Macaca mulatta: one gene and its partner. The protein of the gene in region 1 binds, or shares a complex with, the protein of each later gene. Links are inferred from orthologs where the notes say so. Each region holds a gene or a part of one and is shown in the gene's direction. Other genes may lie near its edges.

Region 1 (3,750 bases):
CATGGAGACAGCCCGCATTAAAGGTTGTGGGAAGATAATAGAAGAGTCAGTGATGGGGGCAGAAAGGGAAGGTTTGAGGAAGCAACTGTAGAGTCTAGAGAAGCCAAGCAGAATTTGAGGAAGAGGAGGCGGCCCAGAAACTAGTGATGGAGAAAACATGGAAAGGGCTATTGTATTTGGTGAGCTCCTTTGGAACCTTAGAGAACAAAGGTGTTACTGAAGTACATGCTCTCAAATTCACACTGAGCACTAAATTCCCGCCGCTATGGGACATTCTGGTTAAGGAAAAACAGCGCAGTCTGGACCCAAGAAAGCTCACAGCGTGGCGGAGGAAGTGAGAAGTGAGTGAATAATTAAGCTACAGTGTTGATTCTGTCTTCCCTGGCAGCAAGAAAAAAAACCAAACAAACAATGTTTAAGTGCTTTGGCCTGGCACGGTGGCTTACGCCTGTAATACCAGCACTTTGGGAGGCCGAGGTGGGTGGATCATGAGGTCAGGAGTTCAAGACCAGCCTGGCCAACATGGCGAAACCCTGTCTTTACTAAAAATACAAAAATTAGCCGGGTGTGGTGGCACACACCTGTAATCCCAGCTACTCGGGAGGCTGAGGCAGGAGAACTGTTCCAACCCAGGAGTCGGAGGTTGCAGATCGCGCCACTGCACTCCAGCCTGGGCAACAGAGTGAGGCTCCACCGTCTCAAAAAAAAAAAAAAAAAAAAAAAAAAAAAGAAAGAAAAAAAAAGAAAAAAGAAAGTGCTTTACCAGAGGTGTGCACAAGGTACAAACAGATGCCCTGAGGAACTGGCGACCCTGTGGGGCAGGACTGGGGAAGGGCTGGTAGGAGGTGCTGCTGTCCAGGTGCATGGTGGGTCCTCAAGAATTCATGGGGGCAATTCCAGTAGAACCGGCCTCTTGAGGCCTCAGGTAGTTCTTGTGGAGACTGAGGGGACAGATAAGGAAAGAAGGGATACAGGCGCCAAGTGGGGGCGCAGGTGCGTTAGCAATAACTGGGTTCTATAGGAGGCGGGGCGCGGTGGCTCAAGCCTGTAATCTCAGCACTTTGGGAGGCTGAGGCGGGTCGATCACGAGGTCAGGTGATCGAGATCATCCTGGCCAACATGGTGAAACCCCGCCTCTACTAAAAATAAAAAAATTAGCCGGGCTTGATGGCGTACACCTGTAATCCCAACTACTCGGGAGGTTGAGGCAGGAGAATCGCTCGAACCCGGGAGGCGGAAGTTGTAGTGAGCCGAGACGGTGCCACTGCACTCAGCCTAGCGACAGAGACTCCGTCTCAAAAAAAAAAAGACGCAGAGATAGAGTTGCCGCCCGAAAGGATACAGAAAGGAGAGGCGAAAAACTTATCCGAATCCTCACTACTTCCTTACAACTGGCGACCAAGTGGACCAAAAACCTCCAAAAACCTCTGTTGGCTGGACTACCGGGTCCTCGCTCTCCTTCCTGGGCTTCTGTACCCGGCCGGAACTTTAGTGTTCTGACGCCTTGTTTGGCATCGGAAGGGAAAAACAGATGGACCTATAAGTGAAAAGTGGCTTCTGGTTGGAAACCACACTATAGGCTCGGGGAGGTAAGCGGTGGTAGGTCGGCGTTTGATGTGTCCCGGGTGTGGGGAGGCGACAGAGCCCTGGCAGTTGAGGGTTGCGGGGCCTCCCCACCGCGGCGAAGGTCTAGCCTTCGGAGGCCAGGCCGTGAGTGCCGGAGGTAAACGCCAAGGCGGAAGAGTTTTGCCACTCACTACCTCAGTGACCTCGGGTAAATTAGTCTTGGAACGTCGGTTTCCTCGTCTCCATAATTGAAATAATAATAGTTCCTCTCTGAGGATTGTTGTGAGCCGTCAGTGAAACCCTTAGAGCAGTTTCTGGCACATGGTAAGCCGTGGATATCTTTACTAATTCGACTCACTTCTAGCTGCGTGGATTATGTTGTCAAAACCCACCGTCAACCTCAGGGCGGTATTGTTCAGTTAATAGGTTAGATTTTCTATTTACTGGTAGAAAAAAAAAATGAAACAAAGCATTTATAATTAAAGTTATATTACTAGAGAAATAACACTACGGAGGGTTTGCAAAATATTTTATGAGCTATCATTTGTTTCTAAAATTTCTGTATGTGTAGAGGTAAATAATTTTGTAACTTAAATGTGTAAATCATTTAAGTGCAACCGGCGCGGGGGAATTTAAATATTATCCATAATTGCAGGATCTCAGATCAACTGTTAATTTTTCCTGGTTCCTTTACGTTTATAATACATGTGAAAACATACTGTTTACATGATTTTGATTTATTAGCAAACCTTATTGATAATGTCGGCTGGGCGCGGTGGCTCACGCCTGTAATCCCAGCACTTTGGGAGGCCAAGGTGGGCGGATCACTTGAGGTCAGGAGTTCGAGACCAGCTTGGCCAACATGGTGAAACCCTGTCTGTACTAAAAATACAAAAATTAGCTGGGAGTGGTGGCGCACACCTGTAATTCCAGCGGCTCAGGCAAGAGAATTGCTTGAAACCAGGAGGTGGAGGTTACAGTGAGCCGAGATCGCGCAACTGCACTCCAACTTGGGTGACAAAGCTGGACTCTGTCTTAAAAAAAAAAAAAAAAGCTGGTCGTGGTGGTGGGTACCTGTAATCTCAGCTACTCGGGAAGCAGAGGCAGGAGAAGCACTTGAACCCGGGAGGCAGAGGTTGCAGTGAGCCAAGATCGTGCCATTGCACTCCAACCTGGGTGACAGAGCCAGACTCCATCTCAAAAAAAAAAAAAAGAAGGTCGGGCGTGGTGGCTGATGCCTGTAATCCCAGCACTTTGGGAGGCCCACATGGGCGCATCACCTGAGGTCAGGAGTTCAAGACCAGTCTGGCCAACACGGCGAAACCTCATCTCTACTGAAAAAAAAAACAAAAAACAAAAATTAAAATTAGCCGGGCATGGTGGTGCCGGTCTGTAATCCCTGCTACTCTGGAGGCTGAGACAAGAGAATTGCTTGAACCCAGGAGGCGGAGATTGTGGTGAGCCAAGATATCCAGCCTGGTGACAGAGCAAGACTCTGTCTCAAAAAAAAAAAAAAAAAAAAAAATGGATAATGTCATTTTACCTATTGGTGTCTGTATCCTATAGAAAGGAAATATCTACCTGACTTCATAGGATTTGTGTGTGGATGGCATGAGATAATATATATCAGGGTGATTTGAAAGTATTAGGAGTGGGCTGGGCGCTATGGCTCACGCCTGTAATCCCAGCACTTTGGGAGGCCAAGGCAGGCGGATCACGTGGTCAGGAGATTGAGACCATCCTGGCTAACACGGTGAAACCCCGTCTCTACTAAAAATACAAAAAAGAAAAAAAAAAATTAGTCAGGCGTGGTGTTGGGTACCTGTAGTCTCAGCTACTTGGGAGGCTGAGGCAGGAGAATGGCGTGAACCCGGGAGGTGGAGCTTCAGTGAGCTGAGATCGCGCCACCGCACTCCAGCCTGGGTTACAGAGTGAGACTCTGTCTCAAAAAAAAAAAAAAAAAAAAGTATTGGGAGTAGTATTCATCAGGTGCAGTGGCTCATGCCTGTAATCCCAGGTACTCCAGAGGCTGAGGCAGGAGGATCACTTGAACCCAGGAGCTGGAGACCAGTCTGAGCAACCTAGCAAGACCTCATCTCTATCTTTTTTTTTTTTTTAGATGGAGTTTTGCTCTTGTGGTCCAGGCTGGAGTGCAATGGCATGATCTTGGCTCACCACAACCTC
Region 2 (3,650 bases), on another chromosome or scaffold:
GATAATAAGAGCTCAGTAAATGTTGATTGAATTATTAACAAAATATGTGAAAGCAGACAACACAGTACCTGGCACACTACTAAACTGTAAATGTTTTCAAATCTGAATCTGTAGAATTCTGTAAGGTTTTATGTAATATGAATATCATTAGCTATTATGGCTCTGGAATTTTTTTTTCCAGGATGTCAAGATGACAGCATCTATGCATGGTCAACCCAGTCCTTCTCTAGAAGATGCAAAACTCAGAAGACCAATGATCATAGAAATCATAGAAAAAAATTTTGACTATCTTAGAAAAGAAATGTAAGAGAAATACCCAGGCTGAAAATCATTTTATTTGCAAGTCTTTTGTATTGCCATTGTTTCTGAGATCCTATTCTTTGTTATCCTATTCTTTGAGTTGGTTATGAAGAACACATCCTTAAAAAAAAGAATGAGGGAAACAAGAACAGATGAAAATAGTGGTTTGTTGGAATATTTGGGATTGTGGATAATTTCTTTTGTTTCTTAAAAAGTATCCAAAAGTATTGCTAAAACATTTGTGCAGTAAATATATTTTAATTAAAAGTAAGAGAAAATCATTGGGGGGGTACTTATATTTAATTGGTGAGTAATTATAATCAGTTAAGGATTGATTATCTCAGCCACAGTACTTAGTACAGCAAAAGGGAATACAGATTTCATAGTATAAATACAGTCTCACATTAACATATTGACTTTTTTTTTTTTGAGATAAGAGTCTCACTCTGTCACCCAGGCTGGAGTGCAGTGGCACAATCTCGGCTCACTGTAATCTCCATCTCCCAGATTCAAGTGATTCTCCTGCCTCAGCCTCCCAAGTAGCTGAGATTACAGGCGTGTACCACCACACCCAGCTAATTTTTGTATTTTTAGTAGAGATGGTTTCACCATGTTGGCCAGACTGGCCATTTTGACGTTTAAATGAATGGAGTTCAAGAATAAGAAAACTAGATCAGATTTTTTTGGATGAAATTTTCTAAATCTTGGACAAATTATTTTAAATGTATCTGGGACTAATGCAGAAATAGAAGGCCTAACCAAATGTAAATAGCTTTTTTTTAGATGAACTTAAGCAAAGTAAATCTTTTAGTTGCAGGAAAGGTATTCTTCGATTTGGGTAACTCATAAAATTTGGCTACATTGGAGCATATTTATATTTATTTGTGACCAAAATTATTTAAAAGAGCTCTATTTTAGAACTACTGTAAATATTCTCAGAAAGAGAATCATGTCCTCTCATTGGAATACAAGTTCTATGAGGGGTGGGAAATTTCTTTCCTTTTCTTTTTTTCTTTTGCCTTGTTTACTGCCCTATCTTAAGCACTTAGAAAATACTTTTCACATAGTAAGTGCTCAAGAAGTATTTCATATTGAGTAAATATGCAATAACAACTTTTTAGGAAAGGCTGTATCCATTAAGTTCAATGTTACAGTGAACTGAATTTTTCTTTTTTTCTATTAGGACACCAAATATATATCAAACGACGTCATTTGGAACAACAGCTGGTTTCTCTGGAATATTCTCAAACTTTCTGTTCAGACGCTGCTTCAAGGTTAAACACGATGCTTTGAAAACATATGCATCATTGGCTACACTTCCATTTTTGTCTACTGTAGTTACTTACAAGCTTCTTGTAATTGATCCTTTGTATTCAGGTGAATTTAAATTCACTAATGTATAATGTAGTTTTGTCTAAGTAAAGTTACTGATTAACAGATGCTGTTGCTACTGCTAATAATAATTCTTTACATTTATATAGTGCTATACAGTTTACAAAGTCCCTTCATATACCTTGTCGTATTTAATCCCTGCAACAGTCCTCCTAATGAGGTAAATCGTATTTTTTTCTTTTTGTAGATAAGCAAGCAACCCAAACTGAGGCATGTTCAAGTACACTAATAAACAACATACTGGGAAAAGAATTGACTGTGGCATATAACAAACATCATTTCAGTATCCTACCTCCTGCCACTTAAGTTTTGTGACATTCAGCAAGTAATTTCATCTCTGAGCCTCCCTTGTCTTATCTATGAATTAGGACTAATAGTACTCACCTCACAGGATTTTGTGAGAATTAAAAGATACTGTAGGTTAAATGACTACCACAATATCTGTCATATTATGGGCTTTTAATGTTATTTCCTGCCCTTCACCTTACCTTGAGTTTCACAACTAGTAATTGATAGAGCCTCTATCCATCATTCATTCTTCAGGTCCCTGCTTAAGTATCTTTTCCCCAGGGAGACCTCTGATTCCCTCATTGTACATTAGGTGTCTAGATACATTCTCTATATAGTTTATCTTCAAAGTATTGTGTACACTTATAATTATTTAAATATTTATCTCATGTCTTTCATTACTGTAAACTGGCCAGAACATCAGAGATCAGGTGTCTTTTATATACCACTGTATTCCTAGCACCTAGCACATTCCTGATACATAGTAGATAATAAAAATGTATTAACCTAGAATCCAGGTCTGGTCTGCTAGTTTAGTATTCTGTCATTATAAAATTGCTTCTGGCTGGGCATGGTGGCTCATGCCTGTAATCCCAACACTTTGGGAGGCCAAGGCGGGCAGATCACTTGAGGTCAGGAATTCGAGACCAGTTTGGCCAACACAGTCTCTACTAAAAATAGAAAACCAGTTGGGTGTGGTGGTGCACGCCTATAATCCCAGCTACTTGGGAGACTGAGGCATGAGAATTGCTTGAACCCTGGAGGCAGAGGTTGCAGTGAGCCGAGATCATGCCAGTGTACTCTAGCCTGGGCAACACAGTGAGACTCTGTCTCTAAAAAATAAAATAGCTTCTACAACAACCACATATGTTAGAGGTAATTCTCTATGTGATAAAGTACAATAAAAACTTTTTTAAATGTGCTGCATTTAGCCTGTTATATGCCACAGAGTTTGAATTTCTGATATTCTTTCTATGGTTTAGTTGTGGTTGAGGATAGTGCAGATAACTACTCTGAGGTACAACACTGTCTTAATAGTTCTTGAGTTTTAAAGGAAAACCAAATTTACTTTTGTTTTCCAGAAAATATAAGCAAGGAAAACTGTGTTTTCAGAAGTTCACTGATCGGCATAGTTTGTGGTGTTTTCTATCCCAGTTCTTTGGCTTTTACTAAAAATGGACGTCTGGCAACTAAGTAAGTTGTTCCTTTTCCTTCTTTTTTACTTTTTTTTTTTTTTTAGGTTAATAAACTCTCTTTTTTCTTTAGCTGTCTATGATATATTTGAATCAAAATGTGGTCATTTGGTATTTCAGATAGCTAACTTTTAATTTTTTGCTCTCTACATTATAGACCTAGAAAGGCAGTTATCAGTTTAGGAGAAGTCAACAAACTTCTAATAGCATTCATATCCAGAAGAAGTGATTAACTCTTTTTTCTTTTTAGGTATCATACCGTTCCACTGCCACCAAAAGGAGGGGTTTTACTCCATTGGATAAGGCTTTGTCAAACACAAATGAAATTAATGGTGATTCCTCTAGTCTTTCAGACTATGTTTGGAATATTAAATGGTCTATACCATTATGCAATATTTGAAGGGACACTTGAGAAAACTATACATGAAGAGTAACCAAAAAAAATGAATGGTTGCTCACTTAGCAGAATGAAGTTTT

The links.
Region 2: NDUFAF1 (region 1) and TMEM126B share a complex: the UniProt entries of both Homo sapiens proteins name them as parts of the mitochondrial complex. The link is inferred for Macaca mulatta from reciprocal best matches to the Homo sapiens genes NDUFAF1 and TMEM126B.

The regions. Positions count from the first base shown.
Region 1 is NC_133412.1:18,746,525-18,750,274, reverse strand, and holds the start of NDUFAF1 (complex I intermediate-associated protein 30, mitochondrial), read left to right. Parts: upstream 1-1,142; 5' UTR 1,143-1,589; intron 1,590-1,631; exon of another isoform or gene 1,632-1,890; intron 1,891-3,750. UniProt on the Homo sapiens protein: As part of the MCIA complex, involved in the assembly of the mitochondrial complex I.
Region 2 is NC_133419.1:86,224,765-86,228,414, forward strand, and holds part of TMEM126B (complex I assembly factor TMEM126B, mitochondrial), read left to right. Parts: intron 1-181; coding exon 182-303; intron 304-1,483; coding exon 1,484-1,677; intron 1,678-3,062; coding exon 3,063-3,174; intron 3,175-3,423; coding exon 3,424-3,607; 3' UTR 3,608-3,650. UniProt on the Homo sapiens protein: As part of the MCIA complex, involved in the assembly of the mitochondrial complex I. Participates in constructing the membrane arm of complex I.